4 linked regions of the Lonchura striata genome follow. The protein of the gene in region 3 purifies or fractionates together with the protein of the main gene of each other region. This does not show direct contact. Links are inferred from orthologs where the notes say so. Each region holds a gene or a part of one and is shown on either strand. Other genes may lie near its edges.

Region 1 (7,536 bases), on a different chromosome or scaffold from region 3:
TAATGTGGCTGTATGATGATGTCTTTCATCATACATTTCAACTCTATGATGAAACAGTGAAGTAGTAAACCATTATTTGCTGTTTTATACACATTTTTACTACCTGAATGAAAAGCTACTGGTATAGGGGTATGCATAGTCCCACCTTTGTACATGTGTCAAATTACTTCTTCTTAAAAGTTTAAATTGAAAGTGATGAAAGTATTCAGAATTATCCACTTGCACCTAGATATCAATTTAAGCCTTGGTGTTTTGTTGTACAGAAGCATACATTAGAATTAGAAGATGAAAATTCCTATCGAGATTTATGTCTTAGCCACTGCAACACACTTTTTTCAGCTGTGATAAAAAAATAATCTTACTTTTGCAGCAGCATTGTGAAACTGATGGCAAAAGTAATCTTCCCAGCTGGCCCGCTTACCAGGCCTTCTTTCCACTTCTCTGGTAACCCTCGCATGGGTTTGGCACACCAGCTACTTTTCTCCGCACTCAATGAGCTTCCACCCTCATTTTGTAAGGGAAGTTTACATCAAATACCAACTCATACATTTGACTTGTCATTACATTGGCTTCAACACTTGCTACACTGTCAAGTCAGAACCTTCAAGGATTTTCCAGATTATAAAGTTCTCTGCGAACATCTGCTCTAAAGAAAAAAAAAACCCAAACTGATACCAAATTGATGACTTTTGGTACACAAGTTCTATCTCATTTTTTAGTGATTATTCTGTCTTTTCCTTCATCATCTCCCAGCCTGTCCTTGTAGGAGAGATGCTCCAGCACAGAGATCATCTTCAATCTCAACTTCAGTCTCAACTTTTAGAGAAGTGTAGACGTTTGGTCTTTAATACAGAATCACAGTTGTTTGTTTGGAAAGATCAAATCCAACCATTACCTAACCCTGCCAAGTCCACCACTGAGCCATGTCCCTAAGTGTCACTTCTACACATCTTTTTAATACCTTCAGCTTTGACAATACTTTCAGTGCTACCCACAAAGATGCAAGGTGTGTGGGGCTATCAAGATTTATACAGATTATGGATATATAAATATACACACACACAAACACATGCATCCACACACAAAGTCTGTATGAAAGGATTTAAACAAGAACATGCTATACTTACACATTATCACCTCTAACAATGTATAAGCCTAGCACTACTTGCTCAACTCCTTGTGAAGAACTGAACACTCGTTCATGGCTTTCATCCAAAATCAAGTTTATGGTCTGATCAAAACCTTTGAGTGTTCCCTGAAAAAAAAAAACACAAAAAAGCACACTGCCGTTGCCCTTAAAATTCTTCCCCTTTGCTGTCAAGGACAGCACTCTTAAACAGAGTGGCAAAATAAAGGTACTAGAGAACAGATGTTCTATTCAGATTTTATTCTTTGGTTTAAACACAAAAGCTAAAGAATGAAATTTTAAAAGCAATAACCAATTTAAGAAAAGCACCCTAGTATTACTTTGTGTTCATGCTAAAAGACAATATGCTTAAGCATTAAAAAAGTAATTTTTTTATTTTATCAGTGATGTTCCTCTATATAACCAATTCTACTATTTCTACAATGGTTTTTTGTATGGACATTTCCAGAAATTAAAAAAAAATATCAAATAAACAGAAAACAGACAAGTTGGATTCTTGTGGTCAACAATACTGAAACCATTCCTAACAAACAATTTTTAAGGGGCATCTCTTTGAAGATTACTTTGTGTTTACTGATTTTTTTTTAAATACATTAAAAAATACAAGATTTTGTGGCAATTAAGTACGTGTTTGGATAATTTTTAACATAAATTTACCATCACTAACTGATTAAGAAACTCAAACTTACATAAAACAGCCCTTGAAACAGTCATAATATTTATATCATCTAACAACGAGTCATATATACCAACTCCATTCCAATCTTTATTGATAGAGGTATCTTGTAGCACACACACACAAAGTTTATCAGACTGACTTCAGCCAAGCAGATTTGGTGAAGCCAACAGATTTCTGTTTTCTCTTTCCAGAGGCTGCACAAAGCTCAGTGTAGACAGAAAGATACAATCCTCTTGCAACAATCATACTATTAAGTTACACTCAAAACACAAAAGAATAAAAGATGGGGAAATGCAATGCAAGGAAAGAAAACCCAAAACACAGAAGCATAAAACAAAAAATATTATGCAGTCAAATATATCAATGGAAAAAAGCTGACATGACATGCAAGAAACAGTAAGTGTTCATAAAATTATTCTTTAAGCTTTATAGCAATTATTCTATAATACATAATTTAGTAATGTGAGTATGTGAGACTATCCTAACAGAGCTTCTTTATTGCCATGATGTCTTTATGGGGAAAATAAAATGTTAAAAAAAAGAAGTCTTACCACAATCATTCTTCCATCAGAAGTAATTACTGCAACAGTACCTGATATTTAATTAAGGAAACATTTAGTTATATCTGAAATAGAACCATTAACACTTTCTGAAGCTTTCATATGTAATACAGGTTTTATGAGCCATTTAGAGCCTAAAAAGCCTATCTGCACTTTTTTTTAAAGCAGCATGGCTGACAATAACATGTAACAATACAGTATTTTTCATTAACATCTCTTTGAAAGTTTCTCTTCACCCAACCATGGACAGCCATAAACAAACATGAAAAGCCTTAAAAACAGAATAAAGATTTGAGCTCACCTCTCTTCCCATTGCTAACTGCACTGCCTCGAAATGGAAAGTTTAATGAACACTTTAAGACCTTAGAAAACCAATCTTAAAGTCCTTAAAAAGCTCTGTAGTAGTGATCCCGAGGCTAGTATTCTGCATCTCTTGTTCCTGAAGATCGGATTATCCCTATTCGATGATCATATATTCATCGTCTTAACTAATTCCGGGTTACTAGTTTACTGTTTGTGAATAAAACTGACAATGTCTGTGGGTTACAAGGAGCACAAAAACCGAGTACCAAAAGCGTTGCAAGATCCCCCAGCTCAGTTTTGAGCAAGTGCTGCGAAGCTGTTATCCAAACTCAGGCTAAGAGCCCTTTAAGGGCGCAGGCCCACGGCGAATCCCGCTCACCACGGGCAGAGCTCAGCCCGGCAGCACTGCGAGCTGCAGGGGACCCTATTGCCGCGTACGCTCCGGCCTGCCCGGCCAGCCTCCGGAGGAGAAACCCCCACCGCCAGGAGGGACAGGCGCGGGCCCAGGCCCCGGAGCCGCGCTGCCGCGCCCCGCCGGGGCCCCGCTCGGAGCGCGGCCGGAGCGCGGCGCGCCGTGAGGCGACGCCAGGAGGATACGGTTGATGTAGGTCTCCAGCGCGGACGTCATGGCGGCGGCTCTCACCGCGGGGCGCCGCGCAGGCGCACAGCCCGGGGCCGCCTGCGGAGCGACGAGCGCGCATGCGCGGGGGACAGGAAGCGGCCAGGAGGTGCGGGAGGGCTGTACCAAGGAGCGATGCAGAGCCGCGTGGGGGGCTGCGGCACCGCCCCTCCGCGGCGCATGGCACCGCCCCTCCGCGGCGCATGGCACCGCCCCTCAGAGGCACACGGCCCCGCTCCTCAGAGGCACACGGCCCCGCCCCTCAGAGGCACACGGCACTGCTCCCTCAGAGGCACACGGCACCGCCCCTCAGAGGCACACGGCACTGCTCCCTCAGAGGCACACGGCACTGCTCCCTCAGAGGCACACGGCCCCGCCCCTCAGAGGCACACGGCACCGCCCCTCAGAGGCACACGGCACTGCTCCCTCAGAGGCACACGGCACCGCCCCTCAGAGGCACACGGCACCGCCCCTCAGAGGCACACGGCACCGCCCCTCAGAGGCACACGGCACTGCTCCCTCAGAGGCACACGGCACCGCCCCTCAGAGGCACACGGCCCCGCCCCTCAGAGGCACACGGCCCCGCCCCTCAGAGGCACACGGCCCCGCCCCTCAGAGGCACACGGCACTGCTCCCTCAGAGGCACACGGCACCGCCCCTCAGAGGCACACGGCACCGCCGCTCAGAGGCACACGGCCCCGCCCCTCAGAGGCACACGGCACTGCCCCTCAGAGGCACACGGCACTGCTCCTCAGAGGCACACGGCACTGCTCCTCAGAGGCACACGGCCCCGCCCCTCAGAGGCACACGGCACCGCCGCTCAGAGGCACACGGCCCCGCCCCTCAGAGGCACACGGCCCCGCCCCTCAGAGGCACACGGCCCCGCCCCTCAGAGGCACACGGCCCCGCCCCTCAGAGGCACACGGCCCCGCCCCTCAGAGGCACACGGCCCCGCCCCTCAGAGGCACACGGCCCCGCCCCTCAGAGGCACACGGCCCCGCCCCTCAGAGGCACACGGCACTGCTCCCCCAGAGGCACACGGCACCGCCCCTCAGAGGCACACGGCCCCGCCCCTCAGAGGCACACGGCACCGCCCCTCAGAGGCACACGGCCCCGCCCCTCAGAGGCACACGGCACTGCTCCTCAGAGGCACACGGCCCCGGCCACAGGGACGGCAGGAGGCGCGGCAGGGGCGGGTCTGGGCTGGCGTGGGCGGGAAGGTTTATCCCTGCAGCCGGGGTCCGCCTTCAGCGCCTGGCTGCTTGGTGCAGCGATTCTCTTCGCAGTGGCCACTGGCAAAGATAAGGAATCATTGTCCACGTGGAGACCAGTGACTGGTGGTGTCTCTCCAGGGGTCGGTACTGGGGCCAACACTGTTCATCCTTGTAGGTGACATGGATAGTGGAATTGAGTTCACTCTCATCAAAATTGCCGATGATACCAAGCTATGTGGTGCCATTGAAATTATGCCATCCAGAGGGATCTGGATAGGCTTCAGAGATTGTCCCATGTGAATCTCATGAAGTTCAACGAGGCCAAGTGCAAGGTCCTACACCTGGTTCAGGGCAATCCCAGACACACGTACAGGCTGAGTGTACAGGTGATTGAGAGCAGCCCTGCAGAGAAAGACGTAGGAGTAATGGTTGATGAAAACTCAACATGAGCCAGCAGTGTGCACTTGCAGTCCAGAAAGCCAGCCATAACCTGAGCTGCATCAAAAGCAGTGTGGGCAGCAGGCTGAGAGAATTGATTGAACCTCTCTCCTCTTGTGAAACCCTGTGTCACAGGTTCTCCCAGCAGAAGGAGGACATGGAACTGTTGGAGCAAGTCCAGAGGAGGGCCACAAAGTTGATAAGAGGACTGGAGCCCCTTCCTTATGAAGACAGTGTAACAGTTGGGAATGTTCAGCCTGGAGAAGAGAAGGTTGCATGGAGACCTCATAGCAACCTTCCAGTATCCAAAGGGGTTCTACAGGGAAGTCAGAGAGGGACTCTTTTTCAGGAGCTGTAGAGACAGGACAGTGAGTAATGGGTACAAACTGAAAGAGGGAAAATTTAAGCTAGATTTTAGGAAGAAATTCTTTACTGTGAGTGTGGTGAGATACTGGAATACGTTGCCCAGGGAGGCTGTGGATACCCCAGCCCTGGCAGTGTTAAAGGTCAGGTTGGGTGGGTAAGGCCTTGAGCAGCCTGGTCTAGTGGAAGGTGTCCCTGTCCATTGTAGAAAAGGTTGGGATTAGATTATCTTCAAGATCCCTTCTAACCTGTAAATTCATATGAGTCTTGCTAGTCTGGGAGCCACGTAATCCTCCCTTGGTTTTCGGTGGGCTGCCAGTGTCAGGTGGGCAGGAAGGAGGCCTGACTGCTGCCCTTCCACACAGCCATGTCCCACACAGCTGCTTGCTCATTTCCCACTCAGTGGGATGGGGGAAGGAATTGGAAGGATATAAACTGGAAAACTCTTGGGTTAAGATAAAGACAGTTTAGTAGGGAAAGCAAAAGCTGTGCACACAAGCAAAGCAAAACAAGGAATTAAATCACTGCTTCCTATGGGCAGGCAGGTGTTCTACCACCTCCAGGAGAGCAGAGTCCCATCACATACAATGGTGACTTGGGATGCCAAATGCTGTCACTCCAAACATCCTCCCTTTCTCCTCCCCCCTGCCTTATGTACAGAGCATGATGCCACATGGTAGAGAATATACCTTTGGTCAGTTTGGGTCACCTGTCCTCGCTGTTTCTCCTCCCAACTTCCCAGTTTAGATTGTCCCTGTCAGTAGTCCAACTTCCTTTTATTTCAGTAAAAGAGACAAATTGGCAAGAGGTCCAAACTAGGACTTGGTGTCCAGCCCATGGTTTAATTCCTGTAGGGAATACAATTTCTGGAAAGGAGAATGCTATTGTTTATTCTCCTAGCATGCCAATTGTTTTCTTGCACACTATTGCAATCTCAACTACAGGGAAAGCAAAATTAATTTTTTTAAAGCAAATCAGCCAGCCAAAACAAAATAGATGTTCTTTGGCACCTCTGAAGTTACCTACACCAAAGTAGTCTCTGAAGAATTTGTCTAATGGCTCAGCCTTTATCAGAAACATGACAAGAAATGTCAGAGAAAAAAATACTTTTGGAATTGGGCATTACATAATTCTCATCCTCTTAAGCTTTTATTATAAGAAGCTTAACAACTTCCACTAATGGTTACACCAGGACAGCAATAATTATTCTGTATTTCATGTAAGAGTCTAAAGGGCTTTTGTGTGAGGGGTTGACATTTTCCTTTTTATATTTTTTCTCTCTGTAAAGAGACATTCTCAAAGACCAAGAACATGAGATCGTTGGGATACAAGGATATAGGATGAAATCTTAAAATATTTGCAGGACACTGCCACAATACCTGACGCCAAGGATCTCCGATCCATCTGTTTATATTAAGAGTGTCCCTGAAAACCAGAGAAGGGATTTTTTAAAAATCGCTTTTGTTTTATAAAGGAGGATTAAAACTCAAAGAGTAAGGCCAGACTTCTTTAAAGAAGTCCAGTGCCCAGGCTTTGCCAAACCAGGTGCTTAAAAGCAGTTAGCATCCTCAGTAAAAAGGAACTCTGAAAAGAGAATTCCTGGCTTCATCTACTCTTAGGCTCTTCCTGAAAGCAGGCAGCTCAGCCCTTCTTCTTACAGCCCTAACTGAGGTTCAATCTTCTGTTTGAAGCCACCACTGCTCTTATTCTTTTCTTACTAAACACCCACACACACAGAGGAAATGGGTAAATCTAATTTAAACCCGTATCTTTTGGGGGGAAAAAAAAATATACTGCCTCTCCTCTTCAGGAGCAAGGTTTGGCAGGCTAAATTACAACCTGGGGGCACAAGTGGCGTCATTTGTGCGGAAGTTGTTCCCGGCGCGGAGAGCGCGCGGATCCCCGGGGGAAGGCCGGGGCTGCGGTGCGGCCGCGTGCCCAGCAGGGGGCCCCCGCGCCTCCGCAGCCGCCGCCCGCAGCCTCAGCGCGGCGCCGGGTCCGGCGCACGGAAATGCCCTGCCGCAGAGCGAGATGCGTTTCCCCCTAAAAATGCCTGCGTCTCTCCAGTGCTTACAAAGCGAGCCTGCTGTGACCAACTCAGACACGGACGTTTCACAGGTTCACACTTTCATTAGAGCAGACAGATTTTATTTCTGATGACTGTATAACATTGGCAACATTTGGGATCAGAAAACTACCTAGCAGCCCTTTGC
Region 2 (7,300 bases), on a different chromosome or scaffold from region 3:
AAATTATTCTGTTTTGATAATGCAATTAAAGGAAAAAATATGTCATTTGTAATATTAGACAATTTTCTGGATCAGGAATATATGCATTTTAGGAGGACAGAGGTAATACAGCTTTTTACAAGTTGTTTCATCTTCCTCTTGCATGTGGGTTTTTCTGTCTTTATCCTTGCACAGGATAAATAACTTTTTACTTAAATAACTTTTTCCTCTGTTTGAAAAACACCTAGCTATTTACCTGGCAGTAAGACATGAAATATAGTGTATTAGCTGTACTTAAGAAGAGGGAGAAAACTCAGGACATATTCTAATTTTTCAGAAGTGTTACTGCAGGATCGTCTAGTTAATAATCAGGAATTCAACTTCTTTACCAACTTGTCATGGCTTAAAGGTTATTATTTTCCTTTCTGTTTTTCTCTCCTCTGTTTCCACAGACAGGAAAAACTGCTCACAAAGTGCCACTAAATGCAGCAAGAAGACCAAAACCAAAGTCAGGATTCTTTTCCACTCCAGTAATCCTAAGGGATCCACATAGCACAGGATGCAAAAATATGTTTGTACAAAATTAAAACTGGACCATGTGGATTTACCTGAGCTACATACAACTTAGTAGGCCATAAATGCAGTATTTTCAAACTCTTTTGCTTCGAGAGTGCATTCATGGTTGTTTCATTCTCTTCCTCCTTTTCTTTTTGTTTACTCTTACATCACTAATGGCATCAAATATTATCACTGCCCATCCTGGCTAGCAATTTATCTCTTTCATCTGTATGTAGAGATGTTTTAATGTACATATCCATATTGACACACAGAACCATACATTAATATACCCCTGATCGCTTCTCAGGGCTTCCTGTCTTGGACATTTGCAGCACCTGGCAATGGCTGAAGACAGTTCAGTTACACATCAACACTTGCATGAGGTGTGTGTGTGTGGGGCCTCCGAGGGTGGAGGCAACAAAAGCATCAGCAACACAGTCTGGGGAAGAATCTGGACAGATCTGCAACAACAGCCCGAGATGCTGTTTTGTAAATATTTGGCTTTTACAAATGCTGGTCACATTTCTCCAGAAAACAAACTAAGTGCATATTTTTCAGATGAAAACACTACACAGATTTTCTGTCACAAGATCAAAGGAGTGCAGGGAAAGAAGGAAGGGAAGGACAGGAAAAATCCAGTAACAAATAAGGGTGTTCAAGGAACTCTTATTCAATTAATGTGATGTGGTGTCACACAGTAGGCACATTAAACTAGCTTTGCTGAGGGGTAAGTTGGGTCGTTAATCTACAGCATTTACAAAAGGATCTTACCAAGGGAGAGGTAGCAATGGTCTCAATGAAAATAGGAAGTGCAGCAAAACCCAAATCTGGTTTGGCCTTGCCTTCTGTGTACCCTCAGGTAAATGAGGACTTGCTTTAATTGACTTTAATGAGCTCTCTCTACATTCTCCTGCACTAAAGAATTTACAGAGAGGCAGCAAACTTCTTAAGCCCTCAAACCCACCTGAAGTACTCAGACAATGTGGTTCTCAAAAAAATGAGAGACTGAAAATTTTGCCAGCTGATTGACACCGCAGAGAAACAGGAAGGAGTAAGATGCCACTGCTTGCTCAGTCAATGAACAGTAACAATTTAATATTGTCCTAGCACAAAGATTCCTCGTCAGAGCACGAACAAGTCTCTTCACACAAGTGCCAATGTAAGCCACTTGAGGTAAACCTCTCTGAAGAAGGGGTCTTTTGCAGAACCATAAAGTTTAAGTCATTACAGAATAAAATTTCTTAACTGAGCACAGCAGAAGATACATGATTAGGTCTGACTGAGTTCGGATACTGCTAAAAAAATTGGTCAGAGTGATCCCGTTATCTTAATGGGAGCAGGACCAGAACATTTCATTGCACAGAGTTTTAATTTACTGGTTAAAAAAAAAATCTATAATTCTATATACATGAAGGTATACTGATAGATTGAAGAAATCAGGAATAAAACTGATGGGCTGTGTTAAAATGAAGCTTGCAAAAACTACACTAAACCTTTTCCTGTATCTCTGTGAGCCTTGGTCCAGCACAGGTCCAGGCAGTTGTTTAACCAAGAATGTCAATAATGCTTTCATCCCTCATGTAAGAATTCTGTTGTGACTGACAGCATGGTTTACTCTGAAGTTTTCCTGGATCAAGATCTGTATTAACTAAATAGAGAAAAAAAAAGTTGAAGAAAAGCCTAGTACATAGTTCCAACAAGGAGTGTTCCTGGCCATTTCAGGAGTTGTAATTCCAGACAATCTTTCCAAGTATCAGCTTAGAAACTCAAAATCATCCAGTTTACCCACCTGTGACCAATGACACTAATAACTTAGATCAGTAATTTTAACCTCTAAATCCACTGTTGTTACCCCCTCTTTTTAACACTTTCTCCGGAGTTGTTTTTCTATTTTGCCATCACCATTCTGAGATATCTATCCTCATACTCCATGATTCTGGATCACACTGCCTTTCTTTTCCAAATCAATGCATCTATTCCAGCCTCCTCAATGAACTACTTTACTCACTGTGAGAGACAGATAGAGAACTTACCTCGATAATCAACTCCAGAATTTAATTTTACAACAACTGGCCTTCCAATGATTTGTTTTAGGAAGTCACTGGGGGTTTGCTTCCGTAGACTCATCGTGATCTTCTCTGGTAAGCTAAGAAGTGAAAACATTAGGATAAGAGACATGCCTCCACATTGTTTTAAATACTCTGTACAGACAAGCAGACCCCTGATTTGTAATACTTTCCATAAGAGAAAGAGATTAAAGCAAAACTCTAAAGGTTGAGGTGGGGAGACAGAGCTCCTAAAGCCATTGCATTCCACTTTCCCTTCGGCATTTTTACTCCTTCTGAAAGCATTACTAAGAATCTTTGTTTGCCACACTGTGCAGCTTTTAAATTTCAACAGTGCCAAAGGCCAGAGACAGAAAACCCGCACGGTGCCGGCTTCATTTCGCTGCTTCCTGGGGCAAATCCAGCCGTGAACCCGGGGATCCAGTTTCCCTACCGACACCCACCGCCGCCAGCGATGCTGGCGCCCAGGGCTGCGCCCCCTTCCCGGACCGCACACGCGTCTGGAGCCGCTGCCCCCGGGTGGAACCCTCGCGTTCCAGCCCGGCCGGAGAGCGCGGCTCCACGGCAAGCCAGCCCGGGGGCGCAGGCGGCCCGTGACAAACCAGCCCGGGGGCGCAGGCGGCCCGTGACAAGCCAGCCCGGGGGCGCAGGCGGCCCGTGACAAGCCAGCCCGGAGCACACACACGGCCCCGGCCGGGCCCGCACTCACCGCCGCCACCGCCTCTCCCGGCGCTTCCCGCGCCCCGCCCCGCCCCGCCCCGCTACGGCGGCCGGGCGGGACGGCCCGCGCGGGTCGAAGGCGGGACGGGCCGGGCGCGCCCTCAGGGGTCTGGCCCCACCCCGCGGTCTGGCGGGGGGAGTCCCGGCCCCTTCAGGGCGGTGAGGGGTTTTTATGGCTTGATTGGGATTCCGCGCGAAATAACACCCCATCGGAGAGAAATCTTGCAGTGTGGAAGGTTTACAGGGTGTCTTGTGGGAAAAAGCCCCGCAGGATCAGTGAAGTTGGGAAAGGCCTCAGAGACCAGCGAGTCCAAGCGCTGCCCAGCTGAGGGCCGCTTCCAGGCTTTGCTTTCCAGTCTCCTCCAGGAATGGTGACCCCACCATCTCCCTGAGCAGCCCATTCCAATGTCGAATCACCCCTTCCATGAAGGAATTCTTCCTGATACCCAATACGGTACTCATTATTATATTCTATTCTAATGAGACCCTGCTAATTCTCAAATGATCTTGTCCTTATCAGAGACATAGTGAGCACCTCACAGGGATCTGTCCAGGACCAGCCAGGGAAGTGCTGAAGGTCATTTCACAGAGGAATCAGTGAACACAGATAAGTTTTGTTTTTTTTTTTAAGTCACCTGGGAATAACTTGGCATACGAAGAAACTGAACTCACCTTCTACTCTTCTGCTTCTCCCCATCATCTCACTTGTTTTTCCTCCTTTCTCGCAGCTATCCCCTGATGTCTGGAAAATACTTCAAATACTTATTTTTTCTTTCTTTTTTTTTTTTTTTTTTTTTTTTTTTTTACGATTTCATACTATGACAAGAGTTAATAATCTGTGAAAGCTTCTGGACTGCTTTGTTTTGTTGGGTTTTTTATCTGTCCTGTATTGATTTAGTATCTTGTCAAACCTCTCAATTCTCATGATACAAAGAAAATGTACCATGGCTTTTCAGAACACAGATTTGTATTCTCACTTCTTTCTGGAGTTGTTTATCTTCTCTTTTTGAACATGTGTCCAGTAACAATTTTTTCTCCAATGCTTAGACTAAAAGGCTTTTAAGAGGCAAGAGCTGCAAACCTGACCTTATTCACCTGCCTGTCCCAGAGTTCAAGCACAGGCAGGGACAGGGAAGTTTGGCCACACTGTGCTTGTGTTTCCAGGCAACCGTCATGTTAATCAGGAGCATCCAACTGTGCTTGATTATATCTAGTATTTGAAGCAGAAAAGGAACATAAAATAGTTACTCCAGGGAGCAGACTTGCAAAGTTTTATTTGGCTTCCTGGCTTCAGTGAGTAATGCTTTGATAAGGGAATATTTCTGTTTTCATTGTTATTAATCTCCAGTATAAAGATTTGGCAAATAAAGCTTTCATGTCTGGGCTGGTAAATTTTCATGGCAATTTTGCAAATCCAACCAGGGACACCTTGTTTTGTAAGCCTTCCTCTTTGTTTTATTTCTTACAAGTTTGCCTTCAGAGCTTTTATGGGGTTTTTTGAGCCATCAGAAACTGATGAGCTGTTTTGCTTTCTGCTCAATAGGCTGCTTTCTAGCTAGCTGAGGCTTACACTTAATTACAGTTTCTACCTGTGTGGATACCTTGATTGTCTGCTGTCAGTCAACAAAATCAGTGTACTTTCCTGCTTCACAGCCTGTGAACCTCACAAACAAACACATCAGATTTGAATCCTGGGCATTGAGACTGGTGAGTTCTGTATCCTTAGCTCCTTTCTTCCACAGTTTGAGACCAAGTCATGAACCTAAATCTTGGGTAATTTTCCTTGGTGTGCCAGAGGTCTCAAAGTGCTGTCTCATGTGCTGTTCCTAGAGGTAAATTAGTCTTAAATGGAATCCTTAAGGTTCCAAATCTCCAAAAGTGAAAATAAAATTCAGATGTCATTGGCTGATGATTATCTTTTGTTTGTTTGTCCTCTAGATGAAAAAGTATTTTTATCTAAAATGTTGCATACCTGGATGTCAGTAGATTGTTTTAAATACTGCATTGCTTTATCCTTTCCTAATGTACCATGGTAGAGCTTTTTCAGCTGTGTAACTCATGGAAATCAGCGAGATGCTGCCCTTGTGTTTTAATCAAGATGAACTTGAAAGGTGAACATTGTAAGTGATAGAAATTATTTATAATTTGGTAATAAAAGTTTATGTCTAGCACTCCAAATTTCACACATCTGCTATGTGCTGGCCTTGAGATAAAGAACAATTGCAATTGCCTTTACATTTGGCCTCAGATGAAAGGTCATAAATTACGATGATAGAGTTCTTAGTCGTTCCCAGCTCACAAAATTTCCATATTAACATCTTCACCTCAAACATAAATGGTTACGTAGTTACAAAGTAAAGAGTTGTATTGGCCTTTGTCAACTGAACTTTAAGATGGAAGTCTGTGGATCTATTGCTAACTCTTAAACACAAAGCCTCACAGAATCCTTGTTCAGAGGACCTAATTAAAACTTTACCGTTAACTTTAAAAATTAAATGGGATTTCACTTTCACTCATGCTCTCTCTCTTCTCTCTCCTAGCAATAAAACCCACTTTAAAGTTAGGAAGATTTTTCTCTCCCAGCTACTTGAAATAAAAGCATTTTCAGAGTGAGATGGCTACAGAACACAGAATGGGTCAGAAGGAGCCTTTTCCTGTGAATTGCACATCGTTTATATAAGTTAAGTGCAGATCAACAACAATCCAGATGACAAAAGAATGTCTGTAGCCCATTTTGAATTCAACCTAACAATCCCCAGCTACACCCAGTGGATGAATAAAAGCCTCAATCTTTAAACAGTTCTCACCTGAAACTTTTGTCAGAGAGGACAAATCCATTCTGGCCCAAATCACAGCATATCACATGATTTTAACAATTAACTTCAGTGTCTTCTTAGGTTCGAAAAAGAGGAAATAATTTTTTTTTAAGTTATGTAATAAAGTAATAGACAAGATCAAGTTCCAAATCCAGGGGAGCATTTCTTGTTCTCTGACGGGAGGTAGAAGGAGGTATCAGCCTCCATGAAATAGTGTTGATATGGAGAAACTCTGCAATTCAAGATTAGCATTGATATTGCAGGGTTTCTTGAGGGCCCTGAAGTAAACATGACAGTACATTTTTGGGATTTGAGAGGTGGAAGGCAAAATTCTGCTCTCACTAAAGCCAGCAGAAGTTTTGCTAATTACTCCTCCATTACTTAGGATACATTTGTGAGTTACTGAAAATACAGCTGAGGTCTCAAAACCTTCCTTCTGGAGCTGTGTTCTTTCACTGTGATTTATGCTTCTTAGAACTGTCTTCTTCTGATGTTCTGAGTGTGAGGAATAAGACATTAAGGAAGTGAAGGGTGCATGAAGAAGCAAGAGAAAGAAAGGAAGTATTGGGACCTTCTTCCCTTTCCTCCTCTGCAAACTTCCTGGTGGACAAGGAACTGTCAGCAGTTCTTCCAGGGAGCTGGGGAGAACAATGTTAGAACTCAGAGGCTTTCTCTCTGTCTCCTACACTTTCAGTTCCGTCAAAAGGAAAGGAAGAGCCTCAGAAGCTTTCAGAGTTCACTTAACCCCCTCCGAGTTCCTGGGAGTGCTTTGCTTCCCAAGGGCCCGGCTTTTTAATGAGTATTAAGAGGTCTGATATTCCCCTTTGGATGCATTTGGATGGGAGAGTTCAAGCCTCCCAGCATGTGAATGATTGTATGTGCCTATACAGTAAAACTTCAAAGATGTTTTTCTCCATAAACAGAGGCTTAGTTATCCAGCATTATTTCCCATGATGTGCTAGGATCATCAGAACTAATAATTTCCTTCCATGTTCTCAACTAAAAAGTTAATATATTTTTGAATGGAACCTTACTCAAAGTAGTATTGGGTTTGACCTATAGATTTTAGATAGAAGAGCCTAACAAAATTCTGTCATCTTCAACTTCTTATACTGTGCTCACCCCCTTGGGATGTTCATCTCCTCCTATATGGCTTAAGTG
Region 3 (8,197 bases):
CGGCACAGGCGGCAGCGCCCCGGCACCGCCCGGTGCTGCCGGACACGGCGGGCAGCGGGGACGGGGACGAGGCGTCGGCCACGCTGCCCGCCCAGCCCGTGACCCCCCGCATCAGCCCCACGGTGGGGGACGCGCCGGGGACCACGGTGACCAACAGCTCGGCGCCGGGCGTGCTGGAAGGGCTGGCGGACTTCTTCAAGGAGTACCTGCTGCTGGTGGTGGTGGTGGGCTCGCTGTCCTTCGTCCTCCTCTTCATCATCTGCGCCGCCGTCATCGTCCGGCAGAAGCACAAGGCCTCCGCCTACTATCCCTCCTCCTTTCCCAAGAAGAAATACGTGGATGAGCGGGACAAGTCGGGGGGAGCGCGGGCGTTCAGCGAGGTGCCCGAGAAAGGCCCCGAGGCCGGCGCGGAGGAGCCGCTGGACAGCGGCCGGCAGCTCCAGGCGGACATCCTGGCTGCTGCCCAGAACCTCAAATCCCCCCACAAGGCACCGCTGGCCAACGGGGCCCAGGCCGAACAGAATTCCCCTCAGGAGGAGGAGAAGGAGGAAGAGGAGGAAGGGAAGAAGTTGGGGGATGAGCAAGCCAAGCCCCCTGCTCAAAGTCCAGGCGTGGAGGAAGTGGCGAGCGCAGGAAGCAAGGAGATGCCTGATGCATCCCAGGATGGCTGCCAGGCTCCCTCTGGAATCTGAGGCAGGGACACAGTCCCGGGCAAGCCTGAGGAGCTGCTGGCTTGGGACTCATGATGGACACGGTGGGTCAGGCTCCGTACGTACGTGGTGGCTCAAGGAAGCCCCGATGAAGATCCCATTCCCTCCCAGCTCCCCCGACCCTGGTGCTGATGGGATGCTCGTGGGGGGGGATTTGCCAGCTGGTGGTTTTCCCCAGCACTGGAACGCCATCAGCCCCAGCTCCTGCTGCCCAAGGGGCTTCTCCCACCCCAGGCACTGGGGGTGTGTGCATCCCCCCAGCTGCAGCTCTGCCCCCACTGTGCCACCAGCTTCCTCCCAAATGTTATTTCAATCAGCAGCAACAGCCTGGTCCATGCCAGGCTCCTGGCTGGGAGCCGAGTCCCTCTGGGAGAAGGGATGGGACCAGGGCTGGGGGTCTGTAGGACATGGGTCAGCTTTGCCCATGGCCACCCAAGGGAAAGAGGGATGAGGATTTAGGACAAGGACCCTTCTTTCCACCCCAGAGCCCAGCTGGATTTTTGCCTCACTTCCTGAACCTTTCAGCTAGAAATAAACATTTCCTCCGCACAGCTCCTCTCCTGTGTGTCTCTGCAGCCGTGGGGTGGCCAGGGGACCGTCCCTGTGTCCTTGTGCTCCTCCAGGGGCACAGCTGGATTGCACTCCAGGGGCACTGGAGCCCTGGGCAGGGTGTTATCAGTCCCCACATCAGCACATCACGTGCCCTTCCAGGAAACCTTTATCTCGCACCCACAGCTGTGGGCTGAGGAGGGGCTGTGGGGACTCAGCCGTGGCCCTGGGGTGCAGCTGCTGCAGTGGGAACAGCAGGGAGACCTGCAAGGTGAGTGAAGCTGTGCTGCCTCAAAAGCAGCACGTCCCTGTATCCCTGAACCTCCTGTATCCCTGGGTTTTATCCCATTATGTCCTTGCCTCAGGACAACCTTCCCTTGGGAAGAGAGTGCCAGCACAAAGAGCGGGTTTTGCCCCAAAGCAGACGTGAATGTGTGAAGTTTCCCTGATTTTGTTTTTAACTGGGCAATAGCAGGATTGTTCCATGAGGGAGAGGCACATTCCTCGCTGCTGGAGGGTGCCAGCTGAGGAATCACAAGAGGGACCTTGTGAATGACATACAGCAATGTGTGACCTCTGTGTTAAAAATTACAAATATTGTGCCCAGACAGAGCAGAATGAGACTTTTTTTTTTTTAAAGTGTGGTTTTAAATGTTTAACAACACCCTCGGCATGAAAAATGGGAAGTGAGGTGTCTTGTTGTGGGTTAGAAGGTTAAAAAGTGAAGTCTGCCAATGTGTTGTCTGCTTGGTTTGGAAATACTCCTCCAGAAAAGAGGAACTCTGGGAGCTCCCCATCAGCTCTGCATTCCAGCTCTGCTATTCCCCACCGAGCTTCCAGTCTCCTTAGAGAATCTTGGAGTGGTTTGGGTAGGAAGGGATCTTAAAGGTCATCCAGTTGCAAACCCCTTCCTTGGGCAGGGACACCTTCCTCTAGCCAAGGGTTTACAGCTGTAAGAGTGAGTGAAGAAGTGAAATTCTTAAGAGAAAACACCCCAAAATTCAGGCTCAGTTCCTCAAACAAGAGCTTCAAAAATTAAGTGGCGACAGGATGGGAGCAGAGACCACCAGTGTCTCCTGGTCACTTTTCCCTTTGGCACCTGCAAAGGTTCCCAGAATTCCAAGAGCAGGAATTTGCCCCCGGATTGCGAAACCAACCCTGACACAGCCGGAGCCAGGGGCGGCCACACAGCTCTCACACACACATCCAGACCAGGGCAACGCTTCCCACTAAATTCCATCAAATATTAGGCAAAACTAAACATCTTCCCAAAACAAAAATTGAAAGTGCAGCCCTTCCAGTACCGGACAGCGGGGTTTTGTCTCCGGAGCGGAGTCTTCCCGCGGCATTCCCAACGGGATGGGAGCCCCCATCCATGTGAGCACTACGGGGTGGCTGGACACCACAGGGACACGTTGTGCGTAACTTGTGCGTATCTTACAGCTTGAGTAGTGCACAGGGTCCTACAACAGCTCGGGAATTGCACTGCAGAGTGAGGAGGGAGGAGGGGAAGCTGCGCAGGCGGTTCAGGCATTGTCGGCTTTTTTGTCGGATTCTCTGTTTGGATCCTGCTTCAGTTTGTAATCGGCCAAGGCAGCCTTGATGGCGTCTTCAGCCAGCACTGCAAAGCAAAAAAAAAAGGATTTTAAGGAGAACTCAAAAGCTTTTAAAACAAAAGATGAAGTAGAAACAAAAGCAGGCAAGACCAGCAGCACAGGCTGATTTGAGGAGTAGAATCTGAATGGAATTCCTAAAATACTGAATTCCTCCAATTTCAATAGTGTAATTCAGAATCTGATTGTTTATTATCAGTCTGCTGAACCACAGACTCCAATATATCAAAGTGATCTGAAAATTCTTGAATTAACGCTGAAATCTGAACATGTTTTCTCTTAAGGACAACGTTGTGCAGAAACTGTTTGGAAAACAGCATCCAGAAGCATCTGTGCTATTTCCAGAGTATCTGAGATCCAGGGTTTTTACTTACTGGAGCAGTGCAGTTTGACAGGGGGAAGGCAGAGTTCCTTGGCAATATCTGTGTTCTTGATTTTCAGCGCTTCATCAACCTGAAACACAGGCAGAGGTGGTCATGGGCCTTGTTTGTGTTTGCTAAGAAGGTTTAATGCTCCAGAGCCAGCAGAATCCACAGGGGACATCAGCTCAGCTGCCCAGGGCAGTGAGGGATGTGGGAATTAAGGAATGTCTGACTGACATATCAGTGTCACACACTGTCCCCACTTGGCCTGTTTCAAGTCTGTTCATCCTCTACCAAAACACTGAGGTGCATTTACTGCTGGCAGAAATGATCTAAAGGTTCTCCGTAACTAAAATTTCTGCCATCAGCCTGGTTTTGCTCATTGCATAAGACAGAAGATAATTTCCTGGTGGAATTGTTTACTTGGGCACGTGCTCAGGAGTGGAGCTGCTGGGGAAAGGTTGGACTTGATGTTGCTATAGAGGGCTTTTCCAACCTTAATGGTTCTCTGATGGTTGTTGAAAAAGACAATTATTGCCCTACAAGTGAAGCCCTGACAGTGCTGGCAGTCACTTCTACAGCACAGAGTAATGCAGGGATTCCCTGGAGAGCACTTCCTACATGATCCCAACAGAAAACACAGCACGTGGGAAGCTCTGCAGCTTTCCCGGAGCTCCCTCACCGTTTTCCCTTTGACCCACTCCGTGGCCAGCGAGCTGGAGGCGATGGCTGAGCCGCAGCCGAAGGTTTTGAAGCGGGCATCCACGATCTTGCCATTCTCGTCCACTTCCACCTGCGGGAGCGTTTTGGGGACAAGTCAGTGCCCGGTTCAGCTCAGCCAGGTGTTCCCAGCCGGGCCCGCGGGGAGCGGGGCTGGCCCTGCCCCGGGCACAGGGTGGGCATGAGGGAAGCCCGTGCTGTCCCCTGAGGGGAGCTCTGACCCTCGAAACAGCCCCATGTGACCCCACCCAGGTGCCACCGGGTCCCCAAGGTCACCTGTAGCTTCATGACGTCGCCGCAGGCCGGGGCGCCCACCAGGCCGGTGCCCACGTTCTTGGCATTGCTGTCGAGGGAGCCGACGTTGCGCGGGTTCTCGTAGTGATCCACCACCTGCAAAGACACAGCGTCAGACAGGCTCGCCCCGCGCTTCCCCCATCCCTCCCCGTGTCACGCTCGCCCCTCACCTTCTTGTGGTAGCCCAGCGCGGCCGGGGCCGGCCCGGGCCGGGGCCGCAGCAGCGCCGCTCCCGCCGCCCTCAGCGCCGCCATCTTCACTGAGGGGCGGGGCGGTGGCGCCGCCCTTTTATAACCTCGGGCGGGCTGGCCACGCCCTCAGGTCTCGCCCAGGCCACGCCCCCTCGCCTCCGGAGCTCGCGTCTCCCCCCGGTCATGCGTTGGCCACGCAGGCGGCGGGAGCGCTGGCGGCCGCGCTGTGGCTAAGGTGATCAGTCAATAAATAAACGACAGAAACGGCGTTGCAGTCGCGCCAGGGTTCCCATCGCGACAGACGGCGGCGGCTGTGCGCACGCGGCGCCACACTCAACATGGCGGGCCGGCCGCGCCGCGCACGCCACGGACCCTCCCGGAGGCCCCCTGATGGCCACACAGCGGGGTGCCCGCGGTGCTGCCTGCGCCGCGGAGCAGAAGACAAAGGGTCGAGCCGTGGCCGCACTCGGCGCAGCGCTGCCCCGGTGCGCGGGCCAGTGCGGGGCTGGTGTCGGGCTGAGGATCCCGGTTCTTCCCGCCCGGTTCGGCCGGCGGTGGGGCGGAACTGCGGGACGGGCGGCGCGGGGGCAGCCGCGGCGGGCGGCGGAGCGCGGCGGGCGGCGAGCGGAGCTGCATAAGATGGCGGCGGCGGGAGCTGAGGCGGCGGCCGAGGAGGAGAAGCGGCTGCCGGAGGGAGACCCCGAGTCGGGCGGGGACTCGGATGATGAGGGCGACTCGGACTCGTCTGGGGACGGCGAGGATGAGGAGAAGGAGAACGAGGCCGAGATCCAGCGGCTGGAGGAGCAGGTGGGCCCGGCGGGGCAGCGGGTGTGGCGGGAACGGGGATAATCCGTGTCCGCCCGGGCGGTTTGGTGTCAGGGTGTGAATTTTTCTGCTCCTTGTGGGTTTCTTCCAGGTCGGGATATCCGGTGATTTAACGCCGTGAATGTCTGGAGTCCTAGATGGGAGTTGAGCAGCTTGAGATTCTTCTTTTTTTTTTTTTTTTTGGAAGGGAAATAAGAGGGAAGTGGAGTAGGCAGTTCGTGTTCATTCAGAAATGTGAGCCGGCTGCCCGCGTTTTTTTATTGCCTTTAAAGAAATGAAAGCGCAATTCTCTCTTTGAGCAGTGGCCGAGGGAGCGGCCGGGGCTATGTCTGGGGTTAGGTTAAATCTGAGTGTGAAAAACGCCAATTTTAAAGTTTTGAAAGTTTAATAATAATAAAATGTTTATGAAAATAGTAATACAATTAGAGTAATAAAGTTTAGAGTTAGGACAATTGCAAGACAATAAAAAGCAAAGAATTACGGACATCCAGATGCTCTCGGTCACTAAGTCACGAAAAGCATCCCTTGTGAACAAAGGAATAACCTTAAAAGCAACAGCCTGTTGTGTATTCATATTTCTCATACATGATGCATAAATTCCTTGCAAATTACGAACTCTTTTGGTTTTTGTCAACTTCTCCTTAATCCTGTTGGTTCCACAAAGACGGAGAGAAGGTGGAAGAATGTTTGTTTTTTCTGTTAAGGAGGCTGTATCTTTTTATGGGCCCTCTTCACTGACATCTCCGTGTGAAGAATTTCTTGATTATCTCATCTTCCTGCTTGAGCTTGTAACAAGTCCTACATCGCAGAATTTATGTTGTAACTTAAAGCTACATTTAACACACTACTTAAGAGAATTAATAGAATTAATACAGCATAACTTTCTGACGTTACACGTATAATATTCATTGTAGCATTTGCGAAAAGCCAATCATAAAATGTGCATTTTTCACATGAGGAACTCTGCCTTGCCTGGCTCTGTGATCACACCACGAGAATTGTGTGATTTATTTTCTGACTTTTTCACGTCCATCACTCAACAGGGCTTTTAAATTTTTTGTTGTTGTTTGTTAAAGCTTTCCATCAATGCTTTTGACTACAACTGTCACTTGGATCTGATCAAGCTGCTCCGGCAGGAGGGAGAGCTGGTGAAGCTGCGCAGAGCTCGGCAGAAGATGAGCGAGCTCTTCCCCCTCACTGAAGGTACAGAGCATCCTCTGCTCCCTGCAGGTGAAGCATCACCCGTGCAAGATGCTTCAGCAGTGAAATAAAATATTCAAGCCAAATTTTCAGCACCCTCGCTCCAGGGGGATGTGATCCAGAGCTCAGCAAACTCCTGGTCAAAATTTCTTAGGCAGGCAGCAAAGAAAATTCCCTGCTGGTGGAAATTGCGGGTGCTTGAAGTGGGGATTTTTGTTTTATTGCAGGGGCTGTGGGGTTTTATTCTTGGAAAGGGATGGGGAGGCCCTGGCAGAAGTTGCTTGGAGAAGTTGTGGCTGTTCTTGGATCTCTGGAAATGTCCCAGGCCAGGCTGGACAGGGCTTGGATCAACCCTGGGATAGTGGAAGTTGTCACTGCCCATGGCAGGGGATGGAATGGGATGATTTTCTAAGTCCTGAGAAATTCCAGCTTTTCTCTTTAGTAAAAATGTGCTTGTTCAGCACCAATTTAAAAGCTTTCTGCCTTTTATCTGAAATTAATTTGGAATTGTGGAGGCTAAAATTCCTCTCTTTGCCTTACTTCCCCTCCTTTGTTTTAATTGTTTTGCTAAAAACTCATCAAGTGGGTATAACGTGTTATTTCTGAATATTAATGATCTTCTTTAATTTTTTTTTCCTTCCAGAAATTTGGCTGGACTGGCTGAAGGATGAGATAAAAATGGCTTCAGAGATCTCTGAGAGAGAGAAGGTTTATGAGCTGTTTGAAAGAGCTGTCAAAGATTACATCTGTAAGTCATCAAAAAAAATGTTTTAAAATGGGTTTTGTTGCATCCAGATTTGGTTTTGTAGGGAAATCTATTGCTTCTGTTGTAACAAAGAAATTGGGTCAAAATTTCAAATTAATTTCTAAACTCTGAATGTGGAGTGATGCAAAGGAAGGATGTGATGTCTGGTCTCTCTATTTCTCAGGAGATGCTGTAGCTTAAAATTTTGGGGATAAATCCCTGAGCTCTTTGGGAATTGGGGTAAAGAGCTGGAAAAATGAAGCCTGAAGAAGTGGAGGGAATACGGAGGTAAATCCCCCCCAAAAGTTGCGTACGGAATGTCACATCAGTGACATTACCTGGTATTGGTGATCCCTGAGGAGGAAGGAATGGAGGTGAAGAAGTGAGGAATTATCCTCTGGATCTGCTGGACTTCATCTGGGGTTTGGAGGCACTTCTGGAACCCAGGGCAGTCCCAACCTGGGGGTCCCAAAATGGAATTTGGAGTTGGTGGGAATGGTGCCAGGCACTCAGTGCTGTTCTCCCACCTCTCCTTCACCTGCAGGACTCAGCTGCTTCAGGAGTTGCTGATCAGGGAAGTTCAGGAGTTTGGAAAGAGGAGTAGGAGGAGCTGCTTTAATCTGAATTATTCCAGAGTGTGACAGCTCTGTGGTCCCAGCTCAGGAAACAGGAATTTGCTGTTCAGGCATCTTGGTGCATCCCTACTGTGGTTTGTGTGGCAGAGGTGACAGGCAGGGCCAGTCCCTGTCAGCAAAACCACAGGAGTGACACCATTCAGAAGGAAACTGGGGCTGCTGCTGCTGAACCAGCAGCATAAATACAATCCCCAAATATTTTAACTTTTTTGGATAAAAAACAACATCGCCACATGTTTTTCTATTTCTATGCAGCACGAGGTATTTGTGGGAAGCAGAGCTGCGTTTCTTCGTTATTATTTTTGAAAAGATCAAATCACCTGCTTCTCCTAACCTTGTTTAGGTCCTGAAAT
Region 4 (7,979 bases), on a different chromosome or scaffold from region 3:
GTGAGATGGATTGACATAGGATAGGTGGGAGAGTGGACAGATGCTAAGTTGCCTGGATGGATGGACAGAGAGAAGGACAAAAGGACAGATGAATGGATGGACAGATGGCTGAGTACTGATGGACATCTGTGACAATGGGTGTCCCTCAGGGGCCTGTACTGGCACCAGTGCTATTCAAGGCTTCATCAATGAAACAGACAATGGGATCAAGTGCACCCTCAGCACACTGGCAGAGGACACCAACCTGAGCAGTGTGGGTGACACGCCTAGAGAACAGATCCATCCAGAGGGACTTGAACAGGCTCAATCAGTGGGCTGACAGGAACTTTATGAGGTTCAACAAGACCAAGTGCAGGTGCTGCACATGGGCCATTGTAACACTCAGTATCAATACAGGCTGTGGGATAAAGAGATTGAGAGTAGCCCTGCCAAAAAGGATGTGGGATGCTGGTGAGAGGCTAGACATAAGCTGTCCATGTGCACTGGCAGCCCAAAAACTAACTGTGTCCTGGGCTGATCCCCATAGCATGGGCAGCAGGTGAGAGGGGGTTCTACCCCTCTTCTTTGCTCAGACAGGACCCCACCTGCAGTGCAGCCTCCAGCTCTGGGTTCTCCAGCATAGCAAGGATGTGGACCTGCAGTCCAAAGGCCATGGAACTGCTCTGAGAAGCTCTGCTCTGGTGACAGACAAAGAGCCAGGGATGTTCAGCCCAGAGAAGGCTCTAGGGAGATCTTAGAGCCCGTTCCAGTGCCTAAAGGGGCTCCAGAAGAGCAGGAGAGGGACTTGGGACAAGCTGGTGTGACAGGAAAAGGGAGAATAGCATCATACTGATATCTATCAGGGTTAGATGGGACACTGGGAAGAAATTCTTCCCTGTGGAGGTGGTGAAGCACTGACATGGCTTGCCTATAGAAGCTGTGGAGCTGAGAATGTGTCACTTTTACTCAAGAGCATCCCTGAACCAGCCTTGGAACTTGATGCCAACTTGCCTCACTGGCAGTCTAGAGAGCTGCCTTCCAATCAGCTCTACCAGCAGGACATTGCCAAGGTATTACTGTGCGTTTCGCTTTTCTTTTTCAGGAACCATGTTCCACACCCGGAGACAAGCCTGTACCAGGAGTGCTGTGATGATTCCCACTAGCTGTCCAGGTCAGAGACATGCAGGTAAGGCACCACAGAGGAGACAGCACCATGGAGGACACACTGCCTGTCACTTCTCTTGCAGGAACTGGGTTTAACAGCAGGAGGGAGCCAGGGCACAAGGGCTCATAAAATCAAAAAATGCATCAAAAAGCAGCAAGTGAAGAGAAAAATGTGCAGATTATCAAGCCAAGATAGTGCTTTTACGTAACATCTGCCAGCACAATTGCAGTGAAAAGCATTGGGAGGTCAGGGAGTGGCTGAGTTCAGTGCCCAGCAGAGAGCCCAAGAAGACAGGAGAAGACAGAGGAGATTAAAAAGATGGAAAGTGGAAACTGAGGCCACTCATAGTGTGCAGGCCCTGGAGAAAGACACTGTTGGTTGAGCAGATTATGAGGAAGAGTAGTAACCTGGCTTGTATTGCAAGTTTTACATGATTTGCAAAGGTGTTTTTTGATGTCATGTGTACCTGAGAAGGTAAGAGGACAAGACACAAAGAATTTGTTTATGCAGATGCAATACATGTAGCTAAATAATAATTTATCTTGGTATTTCTGTAGTAAAGTATCTTTCCCTTTCTCAGAGGCTGCTGAAGAAGTGACTTTTACACAGGTCACCAGAGCATGACTGGTGCCAAGGAAGATCTCTGCACTTGGATGCTCATCTGGACCGTGCTCCAGCTCACATCCCCTACTCCCAACACCTTTCTCACTGGACTAGGTTGCTAGAGGGCACAGCAGTCCCAAGCACTGGCAGTGGAGCTTGAAGCTTTTCTCATTTTGGAGTGAGCTTCTAAGCAAGCTTAGGAGCTGGTGCTTTATACTTTCTGTGATAAAAAATGCCTAAATGTTTGTCTTGGTTTTGCCTAAGAAACTGATTTCTGGGATACCTGAGAAATAGGGCAGAAGGTATATGAACTGCAGCTTGTGTGAGACACTGCAGAATCATCTTCAAGGTGAAGTGTTGTCTTTTTTAATCAAACTCCACTGCCCAATTCTGCCAGGAAACCAATTTCTTCACCAAAAGGAGTAGCAAGAGTGGAAACCCACCTGCTTAACCAAACACCCATGTTAATGGGGACTGTTAGTGTCCATGTTTGCAGTCACTTGGTTTCCCTGTCTCTCTTGCAGAGACATCTCTCCCTGGATGTTGCATTTGGGAGAACAGGACTCACACACAGGGGAGCTGAGCCTCTGATCCAGGAGCCCTGGAGACACTGTTCCTGAGAATACTTTTTCCTTGAGATCGCTGCATGCAATACAGGTGTAAAAGCTCCCACCTTCCTGCATCACAGGCGAGTGTTCATATAGGAAGCCTTGAGTTAAACAAATTTTTAAAAACCCTGTCTGTTGTTTCTTGCATGTCTCTTTCTGAGTAGTTTTTCACCTTCAGGAAACAGTAACAGACCCAAACTCTCTATAGGACAATCAGAAACACCAGATGGGACTGGGTTTGGTTTGATGGTTTTATTGTTTCAATCATAAATGTCAGGTTTAATGGTCAACATTCTTCTGAGATATCTGCAGCCTTTAATGGTCACTGGCAGGTTATGCTGGGAAGCTTAGTGACCAGTACTGAACAGATCCATACAGAAGCCATATGCACTTGAAATGATTGTCAAGGAGTGAGGCAACTGTTGCTATGTTGCCACTTTTTAGTTCTCCTCTCTTGATGATGAATGAAGAAAAGTTCCCTTTCTTCATTCTTGCACCATCCTTCCCTGAACTTCTGCCATCAGGAAGCTCTTTCTGTCCCTGTGGGAACAGCTGAGCAGGTTCTCATGGTCATTTCCCAGCTGGTGGTGAGGGTGCCCTGCTTTTCCTGGGGGATAGAATGTCTGGCTGACTTCTATTCAAGTTCTCCCCCTTCTCAGTGTGTGTGGGCTTTTTACACCTCCTTGATTTCTTGCAGACTCCTTGAGGCTTCAGCCCTGTTGTTTTCTGGCACATTTGACATGACATGCAGAAGACTGAAACAGCACAAGGCTTTGGAAAATAGACCACATTTTTCCAGACATGTCTGGCCCTTTCAGGCAGTGACTCATCTTTACACTCTCAGATGTCCATTTTGCCTCTTTTCACAGCTGGCCCTTCTCAGAGAGCATGCATCTGGCAATTTACACAAGCCCAGTTCAGTGCCAGACAGCAAGGGAGAAGAAATGGCCTGTCAACTGCAAGACAGAAAGAACTTACCTGGACAAACAGCCATTCTCTCCTATGACAAAAAGCAAAACCCATCAGAGAAGACAGCAACAGGATCAGTAACACAAGAGAGAGTATATTCTGAATATCCTTTCACACTTGCTCCTACCTGGCATAGAAAACTAAGTATGTATTTTGGCAGAGAGAAGTCTTGAGGCATCATTCATCTTGTACCACTGCCCATCCCTGGCCTGCAAAAAAAGGTATTTTCAGATGAACTGCAGTGGTTTTTAAAGCAAAACCACAGCTAGGACGCACTGAAGGACACAATCCACCAATGCAAATCACTGAGTAGATTTTCACCCTCAGGAAACAGTAACAGACTCAAAAATAATCTTTAGAGTCATTAGGAAATGCCCTGAGGAAACTGTGTCACCAATCACAGGCTGAAGGTATAGAAATAGATCACCTTTGTTCACCAAAAGCAGGCATTGCCATTTTGGCATTTCAGTGGCAGAAAAGTGCTCTGCACCAACCCATTTCTGTACATGCCAAGTCAGGGCTGATCTTCACCCTGGAGCCTTCTCTTGCCACAAGGAAAGGGCAAGGCCCAGCTACAGCACTGGTTGTGACAGCTGCACTCAGCCATTGAGTGTATACATGACTATTCCCAAATCAGGATTCTCATCCAGGAGAGGTCTCTTTCCAAGCAGAAAAGTTGCAGTGCACTTGTTTACATACCTTGCTCATCTTTCTGCCACAGAAAGCATGACTTCTGCTCAAGCACACTCAGGACATTGAAGGATGTCCTGTAAACTTCTCAAAGGCAGTGTTCAGATGATCAAACCTTGAAAACAAGCACAGACCTAACTGTTGCAATCATAGAATTAGTGGCAAAGATCCTGAAGATTGAGACCAATTTCTCCCCCACCACTGCCAAGGTCACCACTAAACCATGTCCCCAAGTGCCACATCTACACAGCTTTTAAACCCTTTCAGGGATGGGGACTCCAGCACTATTCTGGACAGTCTGTGCCAGGGCTGGACGAGCCTTTCCAGAAATTCTTACGGATGTGCAACCTGAACTTCCTCTGCAACAACTTGAGGCCAGTCCCTCTTGTCCTGTCCTTTGTTGCCTAGGAGCAGAGCCTGACCCTCACATGACTACATCCTTGTGCCAGGGAGTTGTGGATAGCGAAAAAGTCCCCTCAAGCCTCCTTTTCTCCAGGCTGAGTACTCCCAGCTCTCTCAGCTGCTCCTTGTACTTCAGACCCTTCCCCAGTTCCATTCTCTTCTCTGGACATACTCCTGCCCTGCAATGTTTTTCTTGTAGTGAAGCTCCAAGAACTGACCCCAGGACTAGAGGCACATCACTACAGGTGGGTGGTCACTGCCCTGGTTCCACTGGCCACACTGTGGCTGGTACAGCCCACGTGCCATTGGCCTCCTTGCCCACCTGGGCACAACTGGGCTCATGTTCAGCCGGCGTGTGCCCAGGGGGACAGGGAGTTGAACAGCAGGCCTTCCCAGCCGAGCAGTGGTCTACTCTGGGGAGTCCGAGCTGTCCCAGCAGGATGGAGCTCCGGACGCCACCCCGATACCGCAGACACAGTCTGGACACACCGAACACATCCCAGACATCCCGGAGAACCTCACCCCCACAGCCCCGCCCTGTCTCTCCTTCCGTCCCCGTTTCCACTTCCGCCGCCGTTTCCGCTTCCGGCAGTGGTACTGCGATGTCGGCTCTGGCGGCGAATCCAAACAACCCCGTGGTTTTCTTCGATGTAACCATCGGCGGGCAGGTGGGGATGCTCCAGGACGGAGTGGCGGCGCCCGCGGAGGGACTGCGGGGATAACTAGGGATGTCGGAGTCTTGTGGGGATGAGAGAGCGCAGGAGGTGCGGGGGCTCAATGTGGGGCTTGCGGGGCCGCAGCTGGAAGCTCTGGGAGGGGCGGTGCCAGGAGACGGATAGCGGGCCTGTGGGGAAGGGCTCACAGGGGAGAGGAGAAGCACTACGTTAGGAGGGACGGGCATGAATGGGGGTGAATAAGGTGACCGGATCTGTGGGAGTATTCGGGGTCGGGCGGCAGGCGTCTTTTTGTGAAGGGACCTGGAAGACTCACCTAGCCCCCGTCTGCTTAGGATGTTGGCCGCATGAAGATCGAGCTGTTCGCAGATGTCGTACCCAAAACAGCAGAGAACTTCAGGTAATGAGCAGCTACTGTTCCTGCAGCTCAGCCGGGACTGGAACTGCAAAGGCTTTCTGGTGCAGGAATGGCTTTTGGTAGCAAACTGATTAGCTAACTCCCACCCCAAACTGCTTCACCTGCTTTGTGTCTCTCTGTTCTCAGAGATGCTGTGTGGCATCCTGGGCTCTCAGGGGACCCTGTCTGGCTGGAAGGGGTCCTCCTCTGCCCTCCTCTCTGAAGCCTTCTGATTTGCTCCATGCATTTAGAGCAGACAGTGCCTTGTGTCATGGTGGAGGTCTCCTGGTCATCCTGTTTTCCTGCCATCAAATGAGGAATGCACCATGTGAAATCCCACTTCCATTGGAAGGATGGACATACCCTGCTCTCTATCAAACACACTGTCTGCCCCATATTCACAGTGTCTTACAACCTTGGTGTTAACTCTCTGACCTCCTCACGACAAAAAGCACAGAATATGTTTTGAAATGGCAGGGGGAAGGAATTGCCAAATCCTGTTTCTCTGGGAACATCTCTGACACAATAAGGAAAATCCTGTGCACCAGTTTGTGTAGCCCTCAGAGTTCACATGCACCTAACACTCTGCTCTCTTTTTGTTTGCCAGGCAGTTTTGTACAGGTGAATTCAGGTAAGTGGATTATAATGTCCTTTAAGTGTCCCACTGAGAAACAGGGCTGGGTGAGGTAGAAAGGGTTTGTCTTGAACTTTTTTATGTTGTACTAGTACAAAATGGAAGAGAAACCTGCTCTGAGGAAGTTGTGAGGGGCTTGGAGACTCACAGAGATGGCAGGTTTCGCTTTCTGATATTACTTTTTTTGTGCCCACATGGCTCTATAAGCTCTATCTGCAAAGCCCACCTGCTTATGCTGCACATTGCAGTGGGATCCTGTGAAGGTGATGATGTGGGTGTTATAGGGAACAGAGTCATTCATGTGCAGAGCCCACTTGAGGCTTTTTTTTGCCTTCAACAGCAGCAGCTGAGAGGCTGCGGCACTTGTTTGTATTTCAAGGCAGCTGCTAATGTACACAGCAACCCTTTGGGACTCTGAATTGTTGGGACTATTTTGTGTTGGGATATCCGGTAGGTTGCAATAATTCTCCTTTTCACTGCCCTACAGGAAAGATGGTGTCCCTATAGGTTATAAAGGAAGCACTTTCCACAGGTAAATCGTAGACCGTTGTTTGCACACTAAATAGCAGCCTGAGCCATACAGAGTTTTGTGAGCTGCCTTAAGCTATTAGTGGTATTGGAGACATTTGCGGATCATGGCTAATGTAATTCTATGGCTTTGGGGGACCTGGGGATGCTGTCCTCCCCACTGGGAGGAATCCCCTGTTTCTGGTGTGCTATGTCAGATAAGGCATCTATCACACAATCACTATCTCTGTACAAAAGCAATGAGTCCTAAATGACCTCATATCAACAGTTAATATTTATTGTAGATTTTAGGCTGCAGCATTCACAAACTGTGTTAACTTCTGTTGCACAGCAAGGCAGAACCTCTTTTCATGTTACACTGAGCTTCTTGAGGCTTTTGGCCACTGGGAACTAAGTGTTGTTTTACTTCTTTAGGGTAATAAAGGATTTCATGATCCAAGGAGGTGACTTCGTAAATGTATGTACTCTGGTACTCTTTTTGTCCTTTTCCTCTATGGTATAACATGCTACAGTTTCCAAGGGTCTTTGCTGATTTGTGGGATCTCCTTCTTTTCTGAGGTATCCAGTAGTAGCTGGAGGTATGCTCATAGCATTGCTGCCATCCTACTGCAACAGACACTAAACCTCTTGAAAAGGAATCTGGAGCCTTGTGAACAGGCATTCTTCCCAAAATATTTTCTCTCTGCAGTAGCCTATCAAAACCCTGGAAGCTTTCAAAACTTGAAAAATTTTGTTTGCCCTGTTTTCCTTCCCCCTTCTGATGTCCTCCTCCAGACAAAAACCTCTGTGAATTTCAATTCATATTGTAGATAGACCCTAAATACAGAACCCAGTGCGTAATGTAAGAGGTCATTTAAATCAAAACTAACCTTTTGTTACTAAATTGTCTCAAAATAGAAAAGTCTTTGCACCCACAATGGTGGTTGTGCTCTGACACAGGGATAAGAATATATGAGTAAGGCTGAAGGGTCACGGTATCTTCATTGTTCTAGGATCCAGTAAAATTATTTTAATTTTGGAAGCATTTAAAAATATGAGGGAAATTATAAAGCTTTTTTAATAAACAGCTTGGTTGTATGAAAGTCTCTGAGAGAAATGACCACACAGCAGGCGGTTCAGCAACACCAGACTCTGTTGTAGTTGCTAGTTGTGACACTGCTCAGATGAACCAGTGCACTGTATTACTTGCACTGTATCTCAACAGACTTTACAGATTGCTCCAGTATTTGGAATTGATATATTGTATTTATTACAAAGCCACAGTCACACTGACCCCTGAGACAGGGTGCAAATTTCTGTCTCAGAGCCAAAAGTTTAAGTAAACTACAGA

What was found.
Region 1: the proteins of SART3 (region 3) and LSM8 purify together in Homo sapiens (affinity purification with mass spectrometry; 4 studies listed by BioGRID and IntAct, counting the BioPlex papers as one, with this or other methods). This does not show direct contact. The link is inferred for Lonchura striata from reciprocal best matches to the Homo sapiens genes SART3 and LSM8.
Region 2: the proteins of SART3 (region 3) and LSM6 purify together in Homo sapiens (affinity purification with mass spectrometry; 4 studies listed by BioGRID and IntAct, counting the BioPlex papers as one, with this or other methods). This does not show direct contact. The link is inferred for Lonchura striata from reciprocal best matches to the Homo sapiens genes SART3 and LSM6.
Region 4: the proteins of SART3 (region 3) and PPIH purify together in Homo sapiens (affinity purification with mass spectrometry; 3 studies listed by BioGRID and IntAct, with this or other methods). This does not show direct contact. The link is inferred for Lonchura striata from reciprocal best matches to the Homo sapiens genes SART3 and PPIH.

The regions. Positions count from the first base shown.
Region 1 is NC_134607.1:33,921,836-33,929,371, forward strand, and holds the start of LSM8 (LSM8 homolog, U6 small nuclear RNA associated), read right to left. Parts: upstream 3,375-7,536; 5' UTR 3,318-3,374; coding exon 3,287-3,317; intron 2,419-3,286; coding exon 2,378-2,418; intron 1,256-2,377; coding exon 1,128-1,255; intron 1-1,127. UniProt on the Homo sapiens protein: Plays a role in pre-mRNA splicing as component of the U4/U6-U5 tri-snRNP complex that is involved in spliceosome assembly, and as component of the precatalytic spliceosome (spliceosome B complex).
Region 2 is NC_134606.1:62,311,510-62,318,809, reverse strand, and holds the start of LSM6 (U6 snRNA-associated Sm-like protein LSm6), read right to left. Parts: upstream 3,349-7,300; 5' UTR 3,313-3,348; intron 2,684-3,312; 5' UTR 2,665-2,683; coding exon 2,571-2,664; intron 1-2,570. UniProt on the Homo sapiens protein: Plays a role in pre-mRNA splicing as component of the U4/U6-U5 tri-snRNP complex that is involved in spliceosome assembly, and as component of the precatalytic spliceosome (spliceosome B complex).
Region 3 is NC_134620.1:11,419,417-11,427,613, forward strand, and holds the start of SART3 (spliceosome associated factor 3, U4/U6 recycling protein), read left to right. Parts: upstream 1-5,031; 5' UTR 5,032-5,078; coding exon 5,079-5,246; intron 5,247-6,340; coding exon 6,341-6,467; intron 6,468-7,107; coding exon 7,108-7,212; intron 7,213-8,187; coding exon 8,188-8,197. Other genes in the region: iron-sulfur cluster assembly enzyme ISCU, read right to left, coding at 2,786-2,880, 3,247-3,325, 3,917-4,027, 4,231-4,344, 4,419-4,502. UniProt on the Homo sapiens protein: U6 snRNP-binding protein that functions as a recycling factor of the splicing machinery. Promotes the initial reassembly of U4 and U6 snRNPs following their ejection from the spliceosome during its maturation.
Region 4 is NC_134626.1:8,516,748-8,524,726, reverse strand, and holds the start of PPIH (peptidyl-prolyl cis-trans isomerase H), read left to right. Parts: upstream 1-4,865; 5' UTR 4,866-5,018; coding exon 5,019-5,084; intron 5,085-5,425; coding exon 5,426-5,490; intron 5,491-6,094; coding exon 6,095-6,118; intron 6,119-6,608; coding exon 6,609-6,653; intron 6,654-7,063; coding exon 7,064-7,106; intron 7,107-7,979. UniProt on the Homo sapiens protein: PPIase that catalyzes the cis-trans isomerization of proline imidic peptide bonds in oligopeptides and may therefore assist protein folding. Participates in pre-mRNA splicing.